Sus scrofa: one gene and its partners. The protein of the gene in region 1 interacts with the protein of each later gene in a pairwise test. Links are inferred from orthologs where the notes say so. Each region holds a gene or a part of one and is shown in the gene's direction. Other genes may lie near its edges.

The links.
Region 2: the proteins of TXLNA (region 1) and CEP57L1 interact in binary tests that used the Homo sapiens proteins (3 or more experiments, as listed by UniProt). The two-hybrid records come from large-scale screens. The link is inferred for Sus scrofa from reciprocal best matches to the Homo sapiens genes TXLNA and CEP57L1.
Region 3: the proteins of TXLNA (region 1) and STMN2 interact in binary tests that used the Homo sapiens proteins (3 or more experiments, as listed by UniProt). The two-hybrid records come from large-scale screens. The link is inferred for Sus scrofa from reciprocal best matches to the Homo sapiens genes TXLNA and STMN2.
Region 4: the proteins of TXLNA (region 1) and KRT20 interact in binary tests that used the Homo sapiens proteins (3 or more experiments, as listed by UniProt). The two-hybrid records come from large-scale screens. The link is inferred for Sus scrofa from reciprocal best matches to the Homo sapiens genes TXLNA and KRT20.
Region 5: the proteins of TXLNA (region 1) and SPERT interact in binary tests that used the Homo sapiens proteins (3 or more experiments, as listed by UniProt). The two-hybrid records come from large-scale screens. The link is inferred for Sus scrofa from reciprocal best matches to the Homo sapiens genes TXLNA and CBY2.
Region 6: the proteins of TXLNA (region 1) and VPS52 interact in binary tests that used the Homo sapiens proteins (3 or more experiments, as listed by UniProt). The two-hybrid records come from large-scale screens. The link is inferred for Sus scrofa from reciprocal best matches to the Homo sapiens genes TXLNA and VPS52.
Region 7: the proteins of TXLNA (region 1) and CDR2 interact in binary tests that used the Homo sapiens proteins (3 or more experiments, as listed by UniProt). The two-hybrid records come from large-scale screens. The link is inferred for Sus scrofa from reciprocal best matches to the Homo sapiens genes TXLNA and CDR2.

Annotation. Positions count from the first base shown.
Region 1 is NC_010448.4:88,666,551-88,670,050, forward strand, and holds part of TXLNA (alpha-taxilin), read left to right. Parts: intron 1-500; coding exon 501-695; intron 696-2,616; coding exon 2,617-2,736; intron 2,737-2,948; coding exon 2,949-3,023; intron 3,024-3,500. UniProt on the Homo sapiens protein: May be involved in intracellular vesicle traffic and potentially in calcium-dependent exocytosis in neuroendocrine cells.
Region 2 is NC_010443.5:75,208,993-75,212,492, forward strand, and holds part of CEP57L1 (centrosomal protein CEP57L1), read left to right. Parts: intron 1-1,068; coding exon 1,069-1,248; intron 1,249-3,500. UniProt on the Homo sapiens protein: Centrosomal protein which may be required for microtubule attachment to centrosomes.
Region 3 is NC_010446.5:57,003,945-57,007,940, reverse strand, and holds the start of STMN2 (stathmin-2), read left to right. Parts: upstream 1-1,196; 5' UTR 1,197-1,465; coding exon 1,466-1,484; intron 1,485-3,996. UniProt on the Homo sapiens protein: Regulator of microtubule stability. When phosphorylated by MAPK8, stabilizes microtubules and consequently controls neurite length in cortical neurons.
Region 4 is NC_010454.4:21,583,220-21,587,482, forward strand, and holds the start of KRT20 (keratin, type I cytoskeletal 20), read left to right. Parts: upstream 1-1,463; 5' UTR 1,464-1,649; coding exon 1,650-2,057; intron 2,058-4,236; coding exon 4,237-4,263. UniProt on the Homo sapiens protein: Plays a significant role in maintaining keratin filament organization in intestinal epithelia. When phosphorylated, plays a role in the secretion of mucin in the small intestine.
Region 5 is NC_010453.5:21,611,819-21,614,760, reverse strand, and holds the end of SPERT (spermatid-associated protein), read left to right. Parts: intron 1-1,050; coding exon 1,051-2,268; 3' UTR 2,269-2,442; downstream 2,443-2,942.
Region 6 is NC_010449.5:29,636,369-29,640,386, reverse strand, and holds the start of VPS52 (vacuolar protein sorting-associated protein 52 homolog), read left to right. Parts: upstream 1-1,218; 5' UTR 1,219-1,506; coding exon of another isoform or gene 1,507-1,509; 5' UTR 1,510-1,941; coding exon 1,942-2,031; exon of another isoform or gene 2,032-2,090; intron 2,091-2,811; coding exon 2,812-2,896; intron 2,897-3,049; coding exon 3,050-3,102; intron 3,103-3,273; coding exon 3,274-3,349; intron 3,350-4,018. Other genes in the region: RPS18 (40S ribosomal protein S18), read right to left, coding at 957-1,055, 1,507-1,509. UniProt on the Homo sapiens protein: Acts as a component of the GARP complex that is involved in retrograde transport from early and late endosomes to the trans-Golgi network (TGN).
Region 7 is NC_010445.4:23,806,803-23,810,302, forward strand, and holds part of CDR2 (cerebellar degeneration-related protein 2), read left to right. Parts: intron 1-1,212; coding exon 1,213-1,325; intron 1,326-3,500.

The DNA of each region.
Region 1 (3,500 bases):
GTGGCGCAGTGGTGAACGAACCCGACTAGGAACCATGAGGTTGTGGGTTTGATCCCTGCCCTTGCTCAGTGGGTTAACGATCCGGCGTTGCCCTGAGCTGTGGTGTAGGTTGCAGACGCGGTTCGGATCCAGCGTTGCTGTGGCTCTGGCGTAGGCTGGTGGCTACAGCTCCGGTTCAACCCCTAGCCTGGGAACCTCCATATGCTGAGAAAGCGGCCCAAGAAAATGGCAAAAAGACCAAAAAAAAAAAAAAAAAGAAAGAAAGAAAGGCACTTACACATAAGCCTGCACTTCTCTAGGAAGTCCCTCGCTCGATGTCACCTGATCTACAGCGAGGTCCTTTAGGAGTCCCCTTTGCATGACATCTTGGAGCCTGGCTACTCCTCACTTGGACAGCAGGGGGGGCGCTGGGAGAGACCATCCCTGGACTGGCGGGGGAGCCTCCTGAGGCCGGCTGGGGAGCAGTGGATGATGGAGCTGTGGCTGACTTCTCCGCCCAGGAAGAAGGTGTGCAGCGGGCCCGAGAGGAGGAGGAGAAACGCAAGGAGGTGACCTCGCACTTCCAGGTGACACTGAATGACATCCAGCTGCAGATGGAACAGCACAATGAGCGCAACTCCAAGCTGCGCCAGGAGAATGTGGAGCTGGCAGAGAGGCTCAAGAAGCTGATTGAGCAGTATGAGCTGCGGGAGGAGGTGAGGGGTCCCCAGGGAACTGGGATCTGGGCGGGTGCTGGACGCCGGGCAGCACCTTCCAGGTTTCATCCCATTCACAGTCCACCCTCCTCTGTCCTCGGAGGGGGTGATGTTGTACATTTTCATGGGGATGGGGATCCAAGGCAAGGAGAAGAGACTTGCCTGGAGCCACAACCACCGGTCTTGACCCAAATGGCGGGGCCAGTATCTTTAGGCATTAGAACTGCTCACATTTTAGACTGGAGTTAAACGTTCACAGACTGTATGTTACATAGCGCCCCCAGCAGGCCCTTGTGGCAGCACCCCCGAGTCAGACACATGGAGATTTATGCAGTTAAACCTCTGAGGCAGCTCCCCTTGGATTATTGGTTAGCCTGACAATGACTGGGGTCAGCCGTATCTGCCTGCTTTTGATGATTTCAATTTTCAGACTTTTTTAGAATTTGGAATCACAAGGTGAGAGCTGGAACTATCATGAGTGATGGACCCTCGGGGCTGTGTGCTCTTTATTATTTGGTGTTCTGCTGCCCTTGCTACGTGAAAGGGCAGGATATACAGTGCCTTGGCTGGTGTTGGGTGCTGCCCCAGGCTCTCAGATCCTTCCCTCTGAGTCCCCAGACACCATTCACTTGGCTGTCCTGGGCTTCTGTTTCTTTGTCATGAAAAGAGAGACTGGCAGCTACCTTATGGGGCTGGACCAGACCCCTTCCTAGGCCCTGGAATGTGGTGGTGGGTGGGTGGGCAAGCCCCTACCCTCTTGGGTTCACAGTCCACACATGCAGTGACCATGTGTGTGCAGGGCCTGGAGGGGCCTCCCCAACCCACCTCTTCTTTTCCTGTGCTTCATCCTTTGGGAACAAGACTGGTTTGAGGCGTTGATCTGAGAAACATGGAAGCTTCCTGAGTTAGGCACCTAACTTGGAAAAGTTGAGGGCCCTCTCCCTCTCCTCTCTCACTGGTACTACCTGTGGAGCTGGTGGTGCATCCCATCCCCAGTCAGATTCAGGCATTCCCACCCTACCCCCCTGAGCCTCCGGACTTTCAGGTGACTCAAATCCATCCTGTCCCAAGCTAGACCTCGAAGCCACTTCCTCTTCCCACATCCAGAAAATACAGCCAATGCTCCACCTCCCTCTTTTCAGTTGCTTTGACCTTTGAAGTAGCACTTGAGTCCACACCTTCTCTGCATCACTGCTCCCCCCGCCCTAGTCCCAGTTCCCAAGGCTCCTCCAGCTGTCAGGACAGCCATTCTCTGGGATGCACACATCTAGTCTACAGATACAGCAAATTTCTGCCAGCTGAGCTGGTAGAGGTGTCATTTGTGCCCTTTCCATTTACAAAAGTGAGGGTTGTCGGGAGTTCCCATTGTGGCTCAGCGGTTTAAGAACCCAACTAGTATCCATGAGGAATGCAGATTCAATCCCTGGCCTCATTCAGCGGGTCAAGGATCCGGCATTGCACAAGTCGCAGATGTGGCTTTGATCCCAGCATTGCTATGGCTGTGGCGTAGGCTGGCACCTGCAGCTCCAATTCGACCCCTAGCCTGAGAACTTCATATGCTGCAGGTGTGGCCCTAAAAAGCAAAAACGGGAAAAAAAAAAAAAAAAATGAGGGTTGTCAGTCCAGTAAAGTAATCTTTCTTAGGGCTAGAGGTTTGGGTGTATTAGTTACTTGACTTTCTGGAGTTGATCTCATGCTTAAACCCCTGTGCTTACCCGAGACTGACTGAGGCAGAGAAATAAGGTGAGATTGGGAAGAACTTCCAGAGACTTGTGTCCCGTGTTCCTATGGGACACATGGGAGTCCAGCATGTCAGACTCAGGTGGGGGGCTGGGCATTGTGCCCTGGTCTCTGCAGATGGGGCCTCCCTGAAAAAGGGAGCTCCCAACAGGCAGACCCCTCCCACCATGCTTTCCTGCAGCATATCGACAAAGTCTTCAAACACAAGGACCTACAGCAACAACTGGTGGACGCCAAGCTCCAGCAGGCCCAGGAGATGCTGAAGGAGGCAGAGGAGAGGCACCAGCGGGAGAAGGATTTTGTGAGGCTTGGACCCCGGGGGTGGGGGGCCTGGGTTCTAGCTTATCTCATAGTTAGGTTTGTACAGGAGAAGTTGCTGCCTGGTGAGACCAAGGCACTGCTCCCTCAGACCAGTCTGTGAGCAGGAAGCCTCAGTGGGTTATGGCATGTGTGGCTGAAAAAACAAGCCCTTAGGAGCTTCTGATGGGATCTGGGGTCCTTTCTCGGAAATAGCTCCTCAAAGAGGCTGTGGAGTCCCAGAGGATGTGCGAACTGATGAAACAACAGGAGACCCACCTGAAGCAGCAGGTGAGCCTGTGTAGCCCACCCCTACATGGTGTGCCTCTGTGATCCCCACGCTGAGCCCCACCTGGGGGGAGGGAAATGGAACCCTCATTCTAGGACCACCTTGACTCCTGTGTGCCCTTGCTGAGCTTTGTTCTCTCTGGACCTGCCCAGCACCTGTGTGGTGGTGACCAGGTGGCTAGGTGAGCTTGCAGGACTCTGTCCTAGTCAGAAATGTTATGCTGCATTTGAGGAGGCAGGCTCAGAATGGGTGATTTTATTTATATAAATTAGGAGTTCCCTTCGTGGCTCAGTGATTAATGAATCCGACTCAGAACCATGAGTTTGCGGGTTCGATCCCTGGCCTCACTCAGTGGATTAAGGATCCAGCATTTCTCAGACGTGGCTCAGATCCCGCGTTGCTGTGGCTCTGGTGAAGGCCGGCAGCTACAGCTCCGATTAGACCCTTAGCCTGGGAACCTCCTTATGCCATGGGTGCAG
Region 2 (3,500 bases), on another chromosome or scaffold:
CTTCAAGAAATAATAATCCAAATCACGAAATAATCTCTAGCAAACATCTTTCTAATTGGATATAAACTATATGAAAGTTAACCCAGAGCATTTATTTATATTCCATTCATCTTTAGTTTTATAATTTAAAGTAGTAACTGAAAAGAAAGTATAAGATAATGTCTGTAAACTCTGAACTTATCCGAATCATGAAGATATTAATATAGCTGAATAAAAATCACAGTAGTACATGTGTAACAGTTATTATCTTTCAAGCCTGATATCAGTTAAACCACTAGGTTGTAATTTTTTCTTAATGGAAGAAACTATATTCTTTCTCATGTGTCCTAATTATTAACATTATATCTTGAAAGTATATAAAGAAATAGAAAATGTGTTTTGACCAAAACTGAAGCATATCAAGAACTGCAAAAACTTGTGACTTTAAACCTGAATTTCCTTGTTAATTAGTGGATACTATATATGTATCTTTTTTGTCTTTTCAGGGCTGCACCCACGGCATATGGAGGTTCCCAGGCTAGGAATCAAATTGGAGCTGTAGCTGCTGGCCCACACCACAGCCACAGCAATGTGGGATCTGAGCTGCACCAGCGACCTACATCACAGCTCACTGTCAGTGCTGGATCCTTAACCCACTATGCAAGGCCAGGGATCAAACCCATATCCTCATGGATACCAGTTGGGTTCATTACTAGCCACGAGGGGATCTCCCACTGGATAATATGTTTTAATTTTCTTCATCCGTACTCAGACTCTTATGCATCCCAGACTATACATTATCTTTTTGTCTTTTAATATGAATATATTTTATGAAATTAAATTGGGATTATTAGCTTTTTCAAATCTCAAATTTAAAAAATTACTAAATACAATCATAAATATATTGTTTTTATAAGTTAGAACTTAACCCTTTTTAGAGTTTCAGTAATTTTTCTTTTTTTAATGAGGAATATAAATTACTTATTTTTATGGCTAACGAAAATAAACTGTTCACTTTTAAATGCTATGATAGTAAGTGTTCAAAAATTCTCACTTAAAATAATAGTAAACAATTTTTTTTTTCAACAGCTCTTATTTTAGCCTTAAAAACTCTTCAGGAAAAGATTTATCGTTTAGAGTTAGAGAGAACACAAGCTGAAGATAATCTAAACATTCTTTCCAGAGAAGCGGCACAGTATAAAAAGGCCTTGGAGAATGAAACAAGTGAGAGAAATCTGGCACATGAGGAACTGATAAAGCAGAAAAAGGGTAAGACAATTCAGTAGTTCTCAGAAACAAGTTACCAAAGTTTACTACTTGAAAATAATAAGTCCAGTCTGAGAAGATTTACTCAAATATCTTTGTACTTATATGCATTCAAACCTTGAGGGCTTGTTCTCAGATGTTTTGATGTTTTCACTAACTGGATATAATTTTGAACTTAACCTCTATTATAGCTGTTGTCCTAGTTTACAACTTACTGAGACTAAAAGAAAACTTAAGTTTATAGACAAATTGTTTAGGAATTCAAATGATTTCAGAATACTAACAAAATCCAGTATATTATTAGCCTGTAATATAATTGAACTACTTTACATTTTCACTAGATTCTTTTTAAATTTGAAAATATAAAGCAACACTAATAATTAAGTAATAGAAAAAGTTAAAATAAATTTAAAAAAAATTTTGGCTAACTAATGTATGACAAAGGAGGCAGGAACATACAGTGGAGGAAAGATAGTCTCTTTAATAAGTAGTGCCAGGAAAACTGGACAGCCACATGTAAAAGAATGAAATTAGAACATTCTCTAACACCACACACAAAAATAAGCTCAGAATGGATTAAGGACGTAAACATAAATCCAGATACTGTAAAACTCCTAAAGGAAAACATAGGCAGAACACTCTTTGACATAAATCAGAGCAGTATCTTTTTGGATTCACCTTCTAGAGTAATGAAAATAAAAACAAAAATAAAAGTGAGACTTAAACCTACAAGCTTTTGCATAGTGAAGGAAACCATCAAAAAAAAGAAAAAAAAAAGACAAACCACAGAATGGGAGAAAATCTTTTCAAACAAAGTAACCAACAACGAATTAATCTCCAAAGTATACAAACATCTCATGCAGCTTTATAGTTTAAAAAACAAGCAACACAATAAAAAAATGGCCAGAAGATGTAAATAGACATTTCTCCAAAGAAGTCAGATGGCCAAAAACACATGAAAATATGCTCAACATCACTAATTATTAGAGAAATGCAAATCACAACTATTGAGGTATCACCTCACACCAGTAAGAATGTCTGTCATCAAAAATTCTATAAACTATAAATGCTGGAGAGGATGTGGAGAAAAGGGAACCCTTCAACCCAGTTGATGGGAATGTAAATTGGAGCGATGACTATGGAGAACAGTATGGAGATTCCTTAAAAGGCTAAATATAGAACTACCATATTATATGGTCCAGCAATCCCCCTCCTGCGCATCTATCTAGAGAAAACCATAATTCAAAAAGATACATGCACTCCAGTGTTGATTGCAGCACTATTTATGATAGCCAAGACATGGAAGCAGCCTAAATGTCCATCAACAGGGGAATGGATAAAGATGTGGTACATATACATAATGGAATATCATTAACCCATAAAAAAGAATGAAATGCCATTTGCAGCAACATGGATGGACCTAGAGATTATCATACTGAGTGAAGTAAGTCACACAAAGACAAATGTGATATCACTTACATGTGGGGAAAAGTGATACAAAAGAAATTATAAAACAGAAACAAACAGATTTCAAAACCAGTCTTCTAGTAACCATAGATGAAACTGTTGGGGGAGGGAGGAATTGGGGGTGGGGTTAATAATATACACTACTGTGTAAAATAGATGATTAATAAGAACCTACTGTATAGCACAGGAAAATCTGCTCATAGTTTGTAGTAACCTATATGGGAAAAAAGAATGGCTCATATATCCATTATATATATTATAATGGATAATAATATTATGTCAATTATATATATCCACTATATATCCATGTATGTTAATAGATATATACATCCATCAGTTATATATATAACTGATTCATTTTGCTGTACATCTGAAACTAATACAACATTGTTAAGTCAACCATACTCCAATAAAAGTAAAAGAACTTAAACCAAATGAAAAAACAAAAATGAACCAAAAGCCCACTAGTCTGGGGCAAATATTTTTCTGCAGTATCAATATTAAGTATTCATCAAATAAAGTCAATTATTTACCTAAGGAAAAAAGTTTTTAAGAATTTTATTTAACTTGATTTGTATCCTCCTCTTCTCACTATTTCTGACTTTGATAGCATAATTGTGTGTGGATGATTTCATATCTTTACTGTATACATGCCTTTACTGGTGAGCCTTGTCATTTGTGGTATTTTTGTTTCTGGTTGTGGCCTTTTCTTTTCTGCCTAGAGAAATTCCTTTAGTATTTGTTGTAAAGCTGGCTTAGTGTTGCTGAATTCTCTCAGCTTTTGCTTA
Region 3 (3,996 bases), on another chromosome or scaffold:
TTCAGCTTACAAATATAATGGAATTGGGGATTATTTGCCTATTTTCCCAATGTCAAAATCACAGTTTCTGAATAGACCTTGATTGGAGGAAGATTCAGTGAAGTCACAGAAGTGTTAAAATAACAGTGACTAAAAGCTCCAAGAGAACAAGTCCTAAAATGTTTCTCACTGCTGTGGCCTCAGAGCTTGGCACATAGTAAATGCTTAATGAGTATTTCTGTGAGTCAAGTTAAAAAAAAAAAAAAAAAAAAGGAACCAATGAATAGCATTCATTAAGTGAGTAGGTGTGAATTAAGGAATATCTTGTTCATAATGAAAAGCAGCTTTTTTCAGCTGGTTTCAAGAAATCCTCAGCCTAGAACATGAACACATCTTTCTTTAGCCTGTATCAATGGTACCTCTGCATCTCAGAAAAAAAAAAAAAAAATACTCCAGACCACACCACTCATCTCCACTAAGCTCTCAGTGGGTTCTCCTTAGAGCCCTAGAAAGTTCACTGAGGTTTCAATCAGTGCAGTTCTACATCTCCAGGGTAGCATGGCATCCACCCACCTCTGGCTCCTCCAGTCCTCAAGCCAACCAGTCAACCTGGTTCTGCCCTGTTTCCAGACGCACAGGACCCAGGCACAAGAGGCTAATGCTCATTCTCTTCCACAAAGTCCCCAGAGAGACCATAACTGCTTGTCCCTATTCCCAAGCAACCCAGGCAGCCCCTTCCTCCTGTGTCACGAGTAGAAAACATCAGGCCTTGCTCTGCTGAGAGATCCTCAAGAGTCTAGAGACGCCTGAGTCCAGCTGTGTTAGGAGACAAAGGACAATAATGCAGTTCTGCACTGAGTTTCCACCACGGCCAGACATGGTGTCACCCTGGAAGACTATCATCTACCAAAGATGTGGCCAAAGGTAAAAGAGAAAACATGAACTAGTGAAAACAGGGTTTAAACAGTTATTTCCAACAGTCAGCATGTTGTGAAGACTTCTCAGGCCTGCGAATCCCTTTCCTTCTTATATGTCTATTTGTGCAATGAAACATGTGCGAATCAAGTCAAGCCTCCTGACTCCCAGGTAGGCACAGCCCAGTTCTTAGCTCCTAGAAGGCTTCTGGGCTAAGGCTCCACTCTACTTGGACTGTACTATCAGGCCCCCAAAACGGGGGGAGCTGCCAGGAAGGACTGATTTCCATTTCAAACTGCATTCTGGTACTTTGTACTCCAGCACCATTGGCCGATCAATATTTAATGCTTGGAGATTCTGACTCTGTGGGAGTCATGTCAGGGGACCTTGGGAGCCAATCTGCTTGAGCTTCTGAGTGATAATTATTCATGGGCTCCTGCCTCTTGCTCTTTCTCTCGCACGGTCCCACTCTGCAGACTCAGTGCCTTATTCAGTCTTCTCTCTCGCTCTCTGCGCTGCTGTAGCTGGACCCTCCGCCTTCGCCACCGCTCAGCATCTGCACATCCCTACAATGGCTAAAACAGCAATGGGTAAGGCATCGCGCCTCGTTCTTCCTCGGCTCTCTCTGGAGCCCACCTCTCACCTTCTCTCATAGGCATTTGGAGATATTTTTTAGAGAAAAAGATGTTATTGGTAACATAGGAATCGGCAAGGACGGAAGCAGCACTGGGGTTAGGGGGAGGAAACAGAGGGGATCCTTAAACATCTAAAGCGAAGAATTTTTTTTTTTAAGGTGAAAGCAGGTAAGTTGACTTCCCATGGGTAGGAAATTTATTCTGTTTCCATATTTTAAATTAGGGCTCAGTCGTGGGGGGAGGGGGCTATCTTAACAGTATGCCTTAAACCGGGTTAAGCGATATTTTGAAAAGTGCTTTGTAACGTGCTTTATTTCTTCTCTAGTTAAAAAAAGAAAAAGAAAGAAAATAGGGAAGAAAAGGGGGTATGAGAGAAAGGAAAAAGAAAAATGCAAAGTCAAAGCCGTCCTATCTAGGCTTTTTGAAAGATGGGTGGAGACAAGGGAGGCGGGTGAAGAACCGGGCAAATTTTATGGTATTGTCTAGTCGGAAAAACCGCTAGTCCTGGGGCGCGGTGCAGGGAGAAGGGATCGGGGCGGGGTTGGGGGGATGGGGGCGGCGGGGAGACTTATACTCCTTTGTTTTAGGGAAAGGGAGGGGAAGGAGAGAGGAAGTCGGGAGGGCACGGAGGGCGCGGGTGGGCAGCTGCAGGGGCGGGGAAGTGCGCCGTTGGGGAGGGGTGGAGGGACATCGGTTTCGCAGGCGCTGGGGTGGGGTTTCTTTGTGTGAGGACGAGCAGTCCCCCCCTGGGGGCGGGGGGAGGCACCTGCAGAGCTGGGCTCACAATGCGGACTGCCCCACCCTGTGCGGAGCCGCGCCGGCGCCTTCCCCCCTCCCCCGCAGCCCGGCGCAGCATCCTCGGCGGAAAAGGGGCCGGGTCGGGAGCGCAGCGCGACGCCCGGGAGCCCAGCCCTGGGGGACAGCATGGCCACGCGCCACGCCCCGTGCTTTGCGTTCCTGACTCCTTGGCTCTGCTTACGAGTGAGACCTGACCATTGCCCCCGCCTTCCCCACCCCTGGCCTCATTGTTCTGTTTTAGGGAGAGAAGGGGGCAAAAGTGGGTTAACATTTTTCTTTTCAAAAACACATTACCTAGGGTGATTAGACTAAACGCAGATAAAGGCTTTTTGAACTCATTTGGTCGTTTTTGGGAAAAAGCTTCGGAACCTAGATATGAGTATATATAATAACCGGATACAAAAGAGGTCAACGTCTTAAATTGAGCCAAGTAAAATATCTGTTTTGTAGGTCAGACAGGGCCAAAGACCAACAATTCTCATAAGCTCAGCCCCGTGTCAGAGACAGTGGAGACAGAAGAGACCAAACGAAGTTCCGGATCCAGGGCCTCCATCCCCAAAGGGTCATGCGTCTCCAATGCCCCCCCCCCGTGAGGGGGTAGGTGGGAGCTGGGGACTGGCAGGGAGGGACCCAAGATTGGGTGGCAGCTGGAAACACCCTTCCCCCAGGACCCAGTGTGGGATGCGGAGAAGGGAAAAGCCAGCGAAAAGGGCTTGTTCTGGACAGCTCCTCCCTGCCCCACCCTCCCTGGCGGAGTCAAAAGCCCTTGTTTCAGATACTTGGCCAAGAAAGGGGTTTGGGGAGGGGCCCTTGAGCGATCTGCAGTCCCAGTGCCCCTTTTCCCAACCCCGCAGCCCAGAACAGCCCAGGCGCCCCTCGAAGTGAGCCGACACCGGGCGTTGCTCCGAGTGCCAGCTCCGAGCCACTCCCAGCCTAGAAAGTAGCTCTGCAGACGGGCTGGCTAGAGCCCTGCCAGGCCACACAAAGGCGGCGGCCCCACCCCAGCCGGCCGCGGGACCGCAGAGGTGACCCCTTCCCAGCAGGGCGGGGAGGGTTTCTCTTCTCGCCCTCCCACATTCGGAGGACCTTGGGGCTATTTCCCGCAGCCTAAGCCCACGGCCCACGCTCTGTCCTCCACGCTTTCCTGGGTCAGACCCCTTGGATGGTCTCCGCACGAGAGACCCTCGTCAGTTGAGCTAGTAGCTCGGCCCCACCCTTCGCAGCTGGGGGCCAAATCCGACAGCCGCTGGCCGGGTGGGGGCGCACGTGGTGAGCCGCGCGTGGAGCGCAGCCAGCCCTGCAGAGCCCGGCGCCGCGCCCCGCGTTCCCCGCCCCAGAGCTGGGCGCTCGCCCCCGCGGGTGCAGCCCTGGAGACAGGTTTCTGCGCAGTGTCCCGAACTACCCCGACTTCCCACAATTCGCGGTTCTCCCGCAAGTCCGGAAAGGTTCGGAGAATGGGGGATGGGGGCGATCGCGCTCTGCGCTCCGCATCCTCACCAAGAGGTTTCTGCTGCAGGAGGGCGTCTGCAAACTCATCACCATCATCAGTACTGCTGTTACTTCAAATAGTTATTATTATTTCTTAACTCAGTGGCCATATTTGTTCAGACGGTTTGAATGATTGCCTTTGAATAAGGATTAACCCTTGTTGCACTCACTTTTCTTTTCT
Region 4 (4,263 bases), on another chromosome or scaffold:
CCTTACTTGCTGCAGGTAATAAATCATTCCTTCTCCCGGTGGCGGGGGGGGGGGGGGAAGAATGAAATAATGAAATAGCACCTCACACCTATTAGAATGGCTATCATCAAAAAGATGGGATAACAGAGTTCCCGCTGTGGCACAGTGGGTTAATGATCCAGACTGTCTCTTTGGCAGCTTGGATTTGATTCGTGGCCCAGGACCTTCCATATGCCATGCAAGCAGCCGAAAGAGAAAAAAATAACTAATAAATAAAAATAAAAAGATGGGATAATAGGATGTAAAGAGAACACTGGTGTACTATTGGTGGGAATGTAAACTGGTACAGCAATTACGGAAAGCAATACAGAGGTCCCTCAAAAAATTAAAAATGGAACAACACCATGATCCAGCAATTCCACTTCCAGGTATATTTCCAAAGGAGATGAAATCACTGTCTCAGAGACAACTGCCCTTCCATGTTCATGGCAGCATTATTCATAAATAGCTAAGATATGGAAACAACCTACATGTCCATCAACGGATGAACAGATAAAGAATATATATACATATATATACACACACACACAGATATTCTGCCACCTGCAGCAACAGAGAGACCTCGAGAGCATTATGCTAAGCGAAAGAGCCAAGGCAGAGAAAGGCAAATACTGCATAGCATCACTTTTATGTGGAATCTTAAATTGAAGAAGAAAAAAAAAGTCAAACTCATAGAAAAGAGAGTAGAAAAGTGGTTGCCAGGGGCTGGGTGTGAGGGATATGGAGAGAGGTTGGTAAAAGGGTACAAACTTTCAGCTATAAGATGAGTAAGTTCTGAAGATCTCATTTCAAATGTGGTGTCTACAAAAAAAAAAAAAAAAACAAAGAAAGAAAGAAAAAGAAAAGCAGTTCTTATTGTGGTGCAGTGGAAATGAATCCGATGAAGCCTTGCTCAGTGGGTTAAGGATCCAGTGTTGCCATGAGCTGTAGGTTGAAGACATGGCTCGGATCCCATGTTGCTGTGGCTGTGGCGTAGGCCGGCAGCTGTAGCTCCAACTAGACCCCTAGCCTGGGAACCTCCATATGCCACAGGTGTGACCCTAAAAAAACAAACAAACAAACAAAAAAAAACATGGTGACTAGAGCTGACAACACGGTATTGTATAATTGAAATGTACTGAGAGTTTTAAAATGTACTGAATTTTTAAAAAAATTTTAAGCATTGCTTTTTATCACCAGTGTGAGTTACTATTATATAACCACATCTGTCTTTTCAGGTAAATTATTCATAGAGACTGCAAATACTCTTTATGTGTATATTAGGATGGAAAATAAAAAGGGCCAAAGCAGGTGCAGAGGATAAAAGAATACACCTTCCTGTTTCCTTTTGTCTCCCCTGTTTAAAAAAGAAATCACCTCTGAGTAAAGCCTCTTAGAAAGGCCTCTAGTGGTAATTTCTGGAACAGAATTAAACAGACTGCTGCACAAAGGAGAGGAAAAAAAAAGCAAGGCAAGGTGGACTGCGGTGTCGATCGATCGTAAAGGGAGATGTCAGCACAGGAGGCGTTTCTTTCCTGTGAACTCTATAAAAGGTCAGCTCATCCAGGACCAAGAGACAGACTCTGCTCCATCCATCCTGAAGCTACAGCTGCTCCCTCCTAGAATCCCCAATGGATTTCAATCAGAAAAGCTTCCGCAGAACCCTGAGCTCTTCCTCCCAGGGCCCTGCACTCAGCATAAGCAGCTCCATATACAGGAAGGGGGGCACCCAGTACCTCGGAGCCGCACCCAGCGTGTATGGGGGTGCTGGAGGCCATGGCACCCGCATCTCAACTTCTAGACGCGTGGTGAGCTATGGGAGCGACCAAGCTGAAGGGAACCTGTGGGTTGGCAATGAGAAGATGACCATGAAGAACCTCAATGACCGCCTCGCAAGCTACCTAGAAAAAGTGCGGTCCCTGGAGCAGTCCAACTCCAAATTTGAACTGCAGATCAAGCAGTGGTATGAAAGCAACACGCCTGGCATCAGTCGGGACCACAGCGCGTATCTCCAACAAATCCAAGATCTTCGAAATCAGGTGAGGCGTGATGTCTGGGCTTTCCACTCCATTGGTCAGCAGCATGATATGTATGTCAAGAAGGCAAATACGTTAGGTGGGTCCAAACGCTATAAAGCAAATTAGGTTTAAATGTTGCGTCGCTCAAAATGGTATATATCCCATTATCTACCCTGCGTACTGCAGTACCTGACTACATGATAGGATGACTGTAAACCATTCATTTAAAAAATCATCACCATCCAATTACACATAAAATATTAAAATTTTATCCTCCAGTCTTACAATCTGAATTTTGGTCACACATAGTCTACCAAGTCTGGGCTAAGCAGGTAGTAAACATATTTTTCTGGGAAGAGCTAACAATTTTTTATGTAGCAATAAACCTTTCATAGTTTTTCACCTAATTTCTATCAACTTTTAAAACCCCGGTCAATTGAGAGATTTTCCTCCTTTCATTTATGTAAATGTTGTAATTCAAGCAGTAGAATATTCGTTCAGAGATTTCAATGATAAAGTGATTCAGGGTGGAAATGGGGGCAGGGGCCAAGGTCTTAATGATACCTGGATTTTAAAATGTCTTTTAAATGTTTAATAATCTGATCATCCCCCAGCAGAAACCAGTTCTACAGTCATAAAGTATTTTATTGCCCGCAATTCAAATTTATTGCAATCATACCTGCTCCCATATCATACAAGAAAAGGTGGAGTTCTCCGTTTTATCAATTTTATGGAATAAAAGACTTTGCTCCTAGTTGAAGATCTCAAATATGATACAGAACACTTACTCTGTTTGCTAACCTTATCTAATCCCTCCCTTTCGTTTTCATTTCTATTTTAACACTCCTATTTCTTGAGAGCAAGGGCCGCTTGCCAACATGTCTCTTTCTCTTATGTTGTGTTAGACATCAGCGCAATTCGATTCAGATTCATAAGAAGTTATTTCGGGGTTTCAGGAGGATGGGGATGGGAGACAAAGGTGTTTAAATTGTCCCTTCCACCAACATGTCATTCTCCTTGGGCTCCCGCTAGAAAACGTTCAAAATCAGCCAGCCATTCGCCCTACCCCCTCATGATTCACGTGTCTGAAGTTACCTTGGACATCCCAAACACACAGGCAAATGTTCCATTTAGGTGGGCAGACCCAGGATGTGAAGGAAGGCAGTGCTTTTCGGGACTAGGGCTATTGAAAGAGACCTGCCATTGTAGCATCTTTTACAAGCAGATTTCTGGTCCACTTTAGAGGACTCAGTATCAGGTAACTGCTCCTTAAGATCAGGGGTTTATCCATCCTGACAGCCCCAGTGCCTAGTCGAAACCCTACCACATAGCAAGGGTGCATTCATTTGGCCAATATTTAGTAGATATTAACTAGGAGCTGGGCACTGAGGAATATGACGGTGGAGATGATGTGATGTGGGGGAAATGGGCATGCCAAGGATGGATAAATCCTGGCACTGAGGGAAGTGTAGGGCAATGAAGGCGCAGGCAGGTTATCCAGCGCTGTTTTGAGGACAGACCGCCTTGAAGCAATGATGCCTAAGCTAAGACGTGGAGGAAGAGGAGTTCACCAAGCGAGAGGGGCTAAGAGGACTACTCTAAGCAGGAACAACATCAAAGGCAAGGCACACAATAAAGTCTGATGGCTCGAGTTGAAATACACCATCCGTTTGTAAAATCGTAAGCTGGCCAAACCCTTGGGACTCAAGTTGCATTTTATGAGTCTTTGTGTGAGAAAGACCCATCGCAATATGCCGCTTTTCTGTTTTCATGTGAAAAGCCTTTGAGGAGTTCCCGTCGTGGCGCAGTGGTTAACGAATCCGACTAGGAACCATGAGGTTGCGGGTTCGACCCCTGGCCTTGCTCAGTGGGTTAACGATCCGGCGTTGCCGTGAGCTGTGGTGTCAGTTGCAGACGCGGCTCGGATCCCGCGTTGCTGTGGCTCTGGCGTAGGCTGGTGGCTACAGCTCTGATTCAACCCCTAGCCTGGGAACCTCCATATGCCGCAGGAGCGGCCCAAGAAATAGCAACAATAACAACAACAACAACAACAAAAGACAAAGGACAAAAAAAAAAAAAAAGAAAAGCCTTTGAGATGAATATCATCTTTGATATGAGAGGGGTGGTAGCCGAGGATAAACTCAATCACGTTAGGCTCTTGTCCAGTTGAAAATATCGTTCTCTCTTGCATGTTTTCCAGATTAGAGACGCTCAGCTGCAAAATGCT
Region 5 (2,942 bases), on another chromosome or scaffold:
GGCTCTTAGGTGATGCCAATTGTGCGTGCACATCTACAGCTGGGGTAGCTGATCAGTGTTTATTCTTCCTGTAGGGTAACAGAAGTGTGCCAGAGCCCACGCTTAGTGCTTTCATACAGGACCTCTTTGCATCCTAAAATATCACTATGAGGCAAAGCAGTAGGTGCAATTATCCCAAATGGAAGACAGTAGAAACTAAAGCTCACAGGAATTTGTCCCTGTTCTTGTAACTGATCAAAGAGTGGAGCCAGGACTCAGAGTAGTTGGTTGATGCCAACATCAACGCTTTTAACCTCCATGATACATTGTGGATTCTCATTATTTGTGGATTCCATGTGTGTGAATTTGCCCATTTTTTTCTCACTGAAATTAGTTTGCAACTCCAAAATCAATACACGTGGCATGTTTGTGGTGATTCGTGGACATGTAGAGAATAATGAACAATTTAAGTTCCCTGATGTACCTGTTTCCAGTTGAGGCGCCTTCTTGTTTCAGCTCTCAGAATGCAAAATAGTGCTCTTTTCACAGTTTATTTAATGTTGTTGTTTTCACACTTTTACGCTTTTTGTCAGTGACTTCATTGTCCACAGTGGCGCTCAAGCATAGCGCTGATGTGCTGTCTCGGGGTCCTAAGCTCCAGAAGATATTGATGTGCCTTACAGAGACAGGAATACGGTACAGTGCTATTGGCTGCAAGTTTGATGTTAACAAATAAAAAAATACATTTTCAGGAAGGTGTCTTTCAACAGAAAGCAAAGTTTTATATTGATTGGTTGAGGACAATGTGACCAGAGGCTGGCGGGAACCTGTGTTTCTTCTCCTGGCAATGGTTCAGTATGCGCACATTCTATGAGTTCGTGGAACTGTATAGAACAGAACTGTCGCGACTAGTGAGGGTCGATGTATTTCCTCGGGAGGAACCCCAGAGGCCAAGTGCAGAAGCACCCACTGCGCTAGTCGAGACTCCCGGATTGGGTTTCTTGCAGGGTCTCCAGCCCCGGGTTCCCCCACGCCTTCTCTAACTCTGGGCTTCCCTGTTCTCTCCCGCAGAGGGGCACAGCCGAGCCCTTCTTGAGGCTCCACAACTTGTACCCCGCCCCGCGCTGTGCCAGGCAGGCCGCCCTGCCCAGGCTGAGCCGCCGGGTGGTCAGCCAGCACTCCTACCCGCTGAACCGCTTCTCCTCCGTGCCCCTGGACCCCATGGAGCGCCCCACCTCCCAGGCGGACCTGGAGCTGGATTACAACCCTCCCCGGGTGCAGCTCAGCGACGAGATGTTCGTCTTCCAGGTCGGGCGCTGGGTGAGCGAGAACTGCCGCCTGCAGTCCCCCTACTTCTCCCCGTCCTCGTCCTTCCACCACAAGCTGCATCACAAGAGGCTGGCCAAAGAGTGCCTGCTGCAGGAGGAGAACAAGTCGCTGCGGGAGGAGAACAAGGCGCTGCGCGAGGAGAACCGCACCCTCCGCAAGGAGAACAAGATCCTGCAGGTCTTCTGGGAGGAGCACCAGGCGGCGCTGGGCCGCGACGACAGCAGAGCATCCTCGCCGCTGCTGCACAAGGACACCGCCTCGGCCATGGATGCGGTGAAGAAGGACGCGGCCCTGCAGGTGCACCGCGGCCGGGAGAACAGCACCCTGCAGCTCCTCCGGGAGGAGAACCGGGCCCTGCAGCAGCTGCTGGAGCAGAGAAAGGCCTACTGGGTCCAGCCGGACGAGAAGGTGGCCTCGGCCGAGGAGATCAAGCCGGTGTCCTCACCCCACGAGGAGCCCCACGGGCTGCTGCCGGACCAGGGTGCCGGCCTCTCCTCCCCGTTCGAGGAGCCCAAGGGCCCCCCGGGGCCGCAGGAGGACGCCAAGACCTACCGTGCCCTGCGCGAGATGGTCAGCAACCTGTCCGGGGCGCCTGGGGTGGAGGAGGCGGGCAAGGCGGGCCCGAGCCTGCCCGACGGCAGCCAGTCGCTGGAGCTGCTGCGGGAGATGAACCAGGCCCTGCAGGCCCTGCGGGAGGAGAACCAGAGCCTGCAGGTCCTCCGCGAGGAGAACCGGCTCCTGCAGGAGGAGAACCGAGCCCTGCACGCGCTGCGCGAGGAGCACCGGATCTTCCAGGAGGAGAACAAGGCGCTGTGGGAGAACAACAAGCTGAAGCTGCAGCAGAAGCTCGTCATTGACACGGTGACGGAGGTCACGGCCCGGATGGAGATGCTCATTGAGGAGCTGTACGCCTTCATGCCGGCCAAGAACAAGGACCCCAAGAAGCCCAGCAGGGTCTGAGCCCCCCCCGCCCCCCCCGCCCCCCAGGCGCACAGAGGCACCCAGCTGGGGGGGCAAACGACATCGCCTGCCTTCCTGTCACCGCCCGCCGGCGCCCACCCGCTGGTCCCTGTGCCAGGGCGATCTGTTCAACTCAGAGAAGTAATAAAGGCGTGAGGAGGCTGGGGCCGCTAACTCCTGCGTGCTGCTCTGCCTTTCTCTCTCTCTCTCTCTCTCTCTCTCTCTCTCTCCCCCCCCCCCCCCCCCCGGCTCTCTCTCTTTAGCATCTGTAGGCTCACAGAAAACTGGAGCAGAAGGTACAGAGGAGTTCCAGATGTGTCACAGTGGGTTAGGCATTTGCTGGGGCGGCTACTGCCAAGGCCAGGTTGGATCCCCTGCTTCGGTAGTGGGTTAAAGGACCCAGTGTAGGTCACAGCTGCCACTGGGGACTCAGTCCCTGGCTGGGGAACTTCCAGAGGCCCAGAGTGTGGCCCTAAAAAAATAAAGTATGGAGATTTCCCATCCCCTGCCCTCCCACCCACTCACGACCTCCCCCACTGCCATCATTCCCCCCCCCCCAAGTACATTTGTTACAATGGATGAACCAAAGGCCATGGTTCACCTTAGGGGTCACTCTGGGCGGCGTCCTTTCTGTAGGTGTGGACACATGTATAATGACATGTATCCATCACAGT
Region 6 (4,018 bases), on another chromosome or scaffold:
ACCATCATCTGAGCCTTTGTGCAATAGTAACAAAAGTCAATGACAATGGATCGCTGTAACAAATATAACAATGAAAATGTCTGAAATATTGTGAGAATCACCAAAATGTGACAGAAGACACCAAGTGAACAAATGCTGTTGGAAAAATGATTTGCTCAAGACAGGGTTGCCACAAAAAAGAGGTTATCTGTAAAGTGCAATAAAATAAGCCTCTACTGTGCACCGCCTTACTAGTTTCACAATAGAAGGAAGCAGTCTCCTCATGCACCACTTAAGACCGAAAGTTGTGCACCCTGAATTACAGAATGAAAAGAATTCAAAGTAAACATGATGGCTCTTATAAAGCAAAGCTTGTGATTCACCATTTTAAATTAACAACCTATCTATAAAATACTTACTGTGGTGTCCTTTGGGGATTGTGAGCAAGAAAGGCTTAGCCCTGGCACCACATAACATAAACATACTGGTAAGGTCATTTTTTTATGTTAGTTAAGCCTGTGCTCACTGACCTTGTTATGAAATAGTGACCCCCCCCCCATTTCCTGGTTTCTTCATGCTTGGAATCTCTTGGCCTTTCTACTCTCCCTTCAGAGTGTACCATTATCCCATTTCCAGGACATACACATTTCACAAGAATTGCTCTTATGATGCACTAGGAGGAGCAAAAACCTATATAGCAGGGACCTTATAAGTTGACTGCTGATGGTCCAGGCCGGTTTAGTGAACAAATGCTGGCAGACAACCAAAGCCTTTCCCCAACCCCTAGGTGAAAACAACTTTGCTTCACCTAAGACGGTTCTTTGGCTTTTACCACTTACCTTTTGCGGCAAATGTGGCAAGGGCTTAGATGGACCCTGACCATTGTTTTTACCCAGCAGCCCAGGTGACACGGTTGAGACTTTCGCTTACACCTCAGGTGTTTACCCAAGTTTCCTTCACACCCCCAGCTCCTTTACCTTAATCGCAGTGATAGCAAAGGCAATTTTCCGCCGCCCATCGATGTTGGTGTTGAGTACTCGCAAAATGTGCTGGAACTTCTCAGGGATTACTAGAGACTGATAGAGATGGGGGGAGATGTCAGACTTCGCTAATTCCCGCCAAACCGTTAACCCCAAACACGAGCGTGAAGCTTGTCACGCAAGGTGCAAAGAGCCCCCGTCAGGTCTTCACGACACAACACGACTCCCTGGTCCTGCCGACAGCACAACAGGAAGCGTCCAGGATCGGAGAACGCCATCTCCGGAGGAGAACGCCTCCTGCCCGCTCCCAAGCGGCGGGACGGAGGGCCCACGCGCTCCCAAGCCTTCCCAGAGCCCGGGGAGCGCTCATCCTCGGGCCCCGCTGCCTAGAACTGGGTGCTTTGTCGTCCTTCTCCAGGAATGAGGCCCAAGGCTCCACACAAAACGCTGCGAGCCCCCAGGCCAGGACATTTTCGGCGCTCTGACAGCAAGCCTTCCCTGTCCCGGCTCCGATGTCGCCAGATACCCGAACGAACCCAACTCTTACCATGGCTGCAGCGCGGGCGGCGGCGTGTAGGCCTCCAGTGGAAGAGAGAGCGGAAGTGACGTGACATTCTTATATAGCTTCCAGGCGGAAGAGGCGGAGCGACCTTGGCGAAGCGCTTCCGGAAACTCCTTGTACCTGAGCCGGCTAGGCCTCTGAGTCAGAACTGCGCGCCACAACTTCCGGTGCCGTCTCTCTTTACAGATCGTAAAGTTTTTGCGCGTGAGAGCCACGAGAGTTCCGGGTTGAGATTCTCTTTTTAAGACTTTCAGTTTCCATTTGGACTTGGGCGAAGAGCTTAGAGAAAAGGGGAGAGCTAGAGGCAGTCTGTTTAACTCAAATATCTGGGAACGGTTTCGTGCATCACGCCCCAGAACTTGCAGTTCCACTCAGGGGAACGGACCTGCCCGACAGCTGCCGGAAGTGGGGCTGCGCGGAATGGCTGCCGCTGCTACCATGGCGGCAGCCGCCCGGGAGCTGGTGTTGCGGTCCGGGGCCTCAGATATGGAGGAGGAGGAGGGCCCACTGGTGAGGACGCAGGGCTGTTTCTCCTCCAGAGTCTCGTCCGGTCTTCTCACGTCAGAAAGGTCTGGGCTGGGTTTCGCGCAAGGTTGGGAGCTCGGCTGCTACCGGTGATGCTGCCTGGTCTGGCTCTCCATACCCCTCCCCGGATCGGACCTGGACCAAAGTGGGGACTAGAATGGCTGATACTTAGGTTCTGGGGCCACAGTTTCAGTTAAACTCCAGATATTTGCGCAGGATAGAGAAGCGGTGTAGAGTAAATGCTAGGAACATGGCCAGACTGCCTCGGTTCTAATTCCAGCTCAGCCACTTATGCTGTGTGTGTTTGGGCAAGTTAACTAGCCTCTCTGTGTCATCACTCTTAACACTTATAAAGTGAAAAAATAAGACTTACTGTAGAGGTTGTCGGTTAGGATTAGGTGAATGTAGGATGACACCTGGCACGATGGTGAACACTGTGTTAACTGACATTTCTAGAAAGGCTGGAGCTCCCCACGGGGATTGTAACAGAACATCTAAGATAGAAGGAGTCTGGAGACCCTAAGTTCAACTGCAAGTTCTGCTCTGTCCCTGCATCTCCTAATTTTCCTCATTTGGTCACCTCTGTGGGTTTGCTGGCTCCTTGTCATATTCCCTACCCATCAGCCCCAATGAGTAGATTGGGACAATATGAGATTTTGGAATTTTTTGGACTCAGCATTTCTCTCTGGTTTCCCAGTGAAAGTCCTCTCTCCCCATTATATTTTGTTCTCCCCCTCCCTTTCCCATTAACCTGCCCCTCTCCAGGGGGGTGGTCCAGGTCTCCAGGAGCCACTGCAACTTGGAGAGTTGGACCTCACCTCTGATGAATTCATCCTGGATGAAGTTGATGGTAAGTGATGGCACGAGGTGGCCGCAGTGCCTGTCATCTTAAGAGGCATGGGGGCTGGAGGTAATAAGGCAGGAATTGGTGTGCAGATGTTCGGATGTGGGTAGCGGGCGCTGTGGAGCCCTTTGGACCCTTATGATAAACTTCTCTTTCCAGTTCACATTCAGGCAAATCTGGAGGATGAGTTAGTAAAGGAAGCTCTTAAAACGGTGAGGTTTTCTGCTCTCCTAATCTGCCCCTCCACTCACCCTCCCCTCAAAGAAGAAAACAGTCTCTTCGTGTAATATCTTAATGTCTTCTCCCCAAATCCTTTGTTGACTTTGTTGCAGTGTCCCTTCTCTGACTGCCCCCCCCAACCCATCGTGTTTATGCTCTTCCAGGGTGTGGATCTCCGTCACTATTCAAAGCAGGTTGAACTGGAGCTACAGCAGATTGAGCAGAAATCCATTCGTGATTGTATCCTCTGGCAGAGGGAAGGGTGGTGTTACTAAAACGGGCGTTTGGGAGTTCCCATTGTGGCTCAGTGGGTTAAGGACCTAACATAGTGTCCTTGAAGATTCGGGTTCACTCCCTGGCCTCGTTTAGTGGGTTAAGGATCCAGTGTTGGAGTTCCCGTTGTGGCGCAGTGGTTAACGAATCTGACTAGGAACCATGAGGTTGCGGGTTTGGTCCCTGCCCTTGCTCAGTGGGTTAACGATCCAGCGTTGCCATGGGCTGTGGTGTAGGTTGCAGATGCGGCTTGGATCCCGCATTGCTGTGGCTCTGGCGTAGGCCAGCGGCTACAGCTCCGATTAGACCCCTAACCTGGGAACCTCCATATGCTGCGGAAGCGGCCCAAAGAAGTAGCAAAAAGACCAAAAAAAAAAAAAAAAAAAAAAAGGATCCAGTGTTGCTGTGAGCTGTGGCCTAGGTCGAAAATGCAATTTGGATCTGGTGTTTCTGTGGCTGTGGCCGGCAGCTGTAGCTCCGACTCTACCCCTAGCCTGGGAACTTCCATATGCTGTGGGTGCGGCCCTAAAAAAGAAGAAAAAAAAAAGGAGTATTTTGTGGGGCATGGTGCTGACAGCCCCGCCACAGCTGCCCTCCATCAGCTAAGAGAGAAGGAGAGGTCCTGCTGGTCCAAGG
Region 7 (3,500 bases), on another chromosome or scaffold:
CCTACACCACAGCCACAGCAACGTGGGATCTGAGCCCCATCTTCGACCTACACCACAGCTCACGGCAACGCCGGATCCTTAACCCACTGACCAAGGCCAGGGATCGAACCTACATCCTCATGGATACTAGTGGGGTTCCTCAACCGCTGAGCCACGATGGGAACTCCTGTTGTCCCTTTTTGTATCACTAAATTTTTATTTCTAGGATTGTATATAATACAAATCCTGTCTTAGGTGCATATATGCCTATGAAGACAGCATTGAAAAATGAGGTTTAAATAGACATGGTTCTGTGTTAAATGAAAGTATAAGCTACGACCTGAGTTACCACACAAACTACTGTTGCTCTATGCATCTGGTTTGTTCATCCTGGAGAAGGGCATGGAGAGAAACGGGAAGAAAAATGAGAGAGATCAGAGGCAGTGTTCTCATCACTGATGCTTTTTCCCTTTTCTTGACTAAACGTTTAGTCCCTTTAGGAGGCCAGGACCTATCACAACACAACACACTTGGCTTTCTTGCTTGCTTGCTTTTTGTTTGTTTGTTTGTTTGTTTGTTTTTTGCCTTTTAGGGCCGTACCACAGCACATGGAGGTTCTCAGGCTAGGGGTCCGATCAGAGCTGTAGCCGCCGGCCTACACCACAGCCACAGCAACGCTGGATCCTTCACCCACTGAACGAGGCCAGGGATTGAACCTGCAATCTCCTACTTCCTAGTTGGATTCTTTTCCACTGTGCCTCAACAGGAACTCCAGAACACACTTTACTTTGAGCGTTGCTCTCACAGCTGTCAGATTCATGGGAACTTTAGAGAGTGTGGAAAGACTACTTTGGCTTAACCGTCCATCCAAAAAAGTAGACAACCATCACATGATTAAGTCCAGTCCGTAAGCAAATAATTATGATCTTAGGCATCGCAGTGCTAAACGATCCTTGCTAAACTAATGAATGCACCTCCAGAAAGTAGATCTCTGTCCTTCACGTCTTAACAAGTAAGGGTACCCAGTACGTTACCTGGTAAAAGGCCCCAATTCAGCTGAATTTTGAGTAGAACCCAGGTTTCCTTCTGTGCCATTTCCACCTTCCTCTGGGATCTGACTTCAACTTTATATGTTAGGTTGGGTCTTGGTTCATTCTTATTTTAAGAACTGGGTTATATAAGATGTTGAAGTGGAATCGTTTGTGCTTTTCTGAGCTTTACCTGTTGTGCTAGATCTCCAGCTTGCGGCTGAGCTTGGGAAGACCTTGCTGGATCGGAACACAGAGTTGGAGGATTCTCTTCAGCAGATGTACACAACCAATCAGGAGCAGTTACAGGAAATCGAGGTATTTACTCAGCCGGGAGAGTCGCCTTTGGGGTGTGGCATGTCGCTGCCGTTGTACCAATCCTGTTCCACTGAAATAACATTTGCAATTAAGAGCAATGTTTAACATCGCATAAGAGACTTTTTTGAGAATAAAGAACCATTGGGAGGAGTTCCCTTTATGGCTCAGTGGTTAATGAACCCGACTAGTATCCATGAGGATGCAGGTTCGGTCCCTGGCCTCGTTCAGTGGGTTCAGGACGGGCATTGCCATGAGCTGTGGTGTAGGTGTTAGACGTGTTGCTGTGGCTGTGGTGTAGGCGAGCAGCTGTAGCTCCGTTTCCATCCCTAGTCTGGGAACTTCCAATATGCCGTGGGTGTGGCCCTAAAAAGCAAAAAAAAAAAACCATTGGGAAGGTGTGGAAGTTGATTTTTACTTTCTCTAAGCTTTCTCAACACATAAAATCTGCTATGATGAGAGAAATCTCTCTCTTCACCCTGGGTGAAGTGTCCTGGATGTAAGTGGTCCAGTATGTGAAACAAAAGAAAGCTGTGAATAGTATACATAATTTTTCACTTTTTTCTTAAAAAAAAAAATGAATTGTGGCGTTCCTGCCAAGGTGCAATGGGATTCTCAGTGTCTCTGAAGCACCAGGACACAGGTTCGATCCCTGGTCAGCACTGGGTGTTGAAGGACCCAGCTTTGCTGCATCTGTAGCTTAGGTCCCACCTGTGGCTTAGATCTGATCCCTGGCCTGGGAACTCCGTATGTATGCTGCCCAGGAAAAAAAAAAAAAAGAATTGTGCAAAAGTGAAGCTATGCAAAGAGGTACAAGAGAATAATACCGTGAACACTCACCCAGCTTGAAAAAAGGATCCACTTAAGCACTGTGAAGGCTCCCCCTATAACCCCTCCTCGGTTACATGCCCTCCCCTCAGCAAACACTGTCCTAAATTTGATGCAAAATTTTTATTTTATTTAAGACTTTTATTTTATTCATTATAGTTGATTTACACTGTTCTGTCAATTTCTCCTGTACAGCAAAGTGACTCAGCCATATGTATATGCTTTTTCTCACATTATCCTCCATCATGTTCCATCGCAAGTGACTAGCTATAGTTCCCGGTGCTATACAGCAGGATCTCACTGCTTATCCCCTCCACAGGCAGTCGTTTGCATCTATTAACCCCGAACTCCCCGTCCCTCCCCCTCCCGCCCCCTGCCCCCTCCCCCTTGGCAACCCCAAGTCTATTCTCCCAAGTCCATGAGGGATGAAAAAATTTTAAATGGTAGTACCTGTTTTCAAAGAAGTAATCATAAAAGAGCTGTTTCTTTCTCCCTGCTGTGATCTTGATTTATTGACATTTTTAGTAGATTTTAAAAATTAAAATACTCCTTTTTCCCTAGTCTGACCAACTAAAATGAAAGATGCTAGATTCAGGTCGCATTAAAGTAACCCTGTTATGTGTAGGCCACACACACAAGATGATCGCGATAGATATTAACTAGACAATTGTCCCATTAGAACATGTCGTGCACCAGACTCCCCGTGTACCCCGAAAAGAGCCTTGCACTTAAAGTACAACTCTCTCCCCTCAAATTGGTACAGTGGCACCAAGACTTTTGTGTCTTGGTGCCAAAAAAAATATAAAAGGCCTTAGAACGTAGAAGCCATGCATCATGGTCAGAACGTACTGGGAGTTCCCATTGTAGCACAGTGGAAACAAATCTGACTAGTATCCATGAGGAGGCGAATCCAAATCCTGGCCTCGCTTGCCGTGAGCTGTGGTGTAGGCCACAGACACGGCTTGGATCCCTTGTTACTGTGGCTAAGGTGTCCGATTATACACCTAGCCTGGGAACTTCCATATGCCACCAGTGTGTCCCTAAAAAGGAAGGCGGAAAAAAAAAAAAAAGAACTTACTGAGTTCTGACTATATACTGAACCAGGTTCTGGAAATGCAAAGAAGTAGAAAAACACCATCCAAAATTACACAGATTTCAATTTTTGAATACAAATAAACCTGTCATTAAAACTAAGATACTTCATGTATCATTTCAGTATCCTTAATTTTACACCATAATTAAGATACACAGAATAGGAGTTCCCTTGTGGTGCAGCAGGTTTAGGATTTTACATTGTCACTGCTGTGGCTCAGGTTCAGTCCCCGGCCTGGGAACCTCCACATGCTGTGG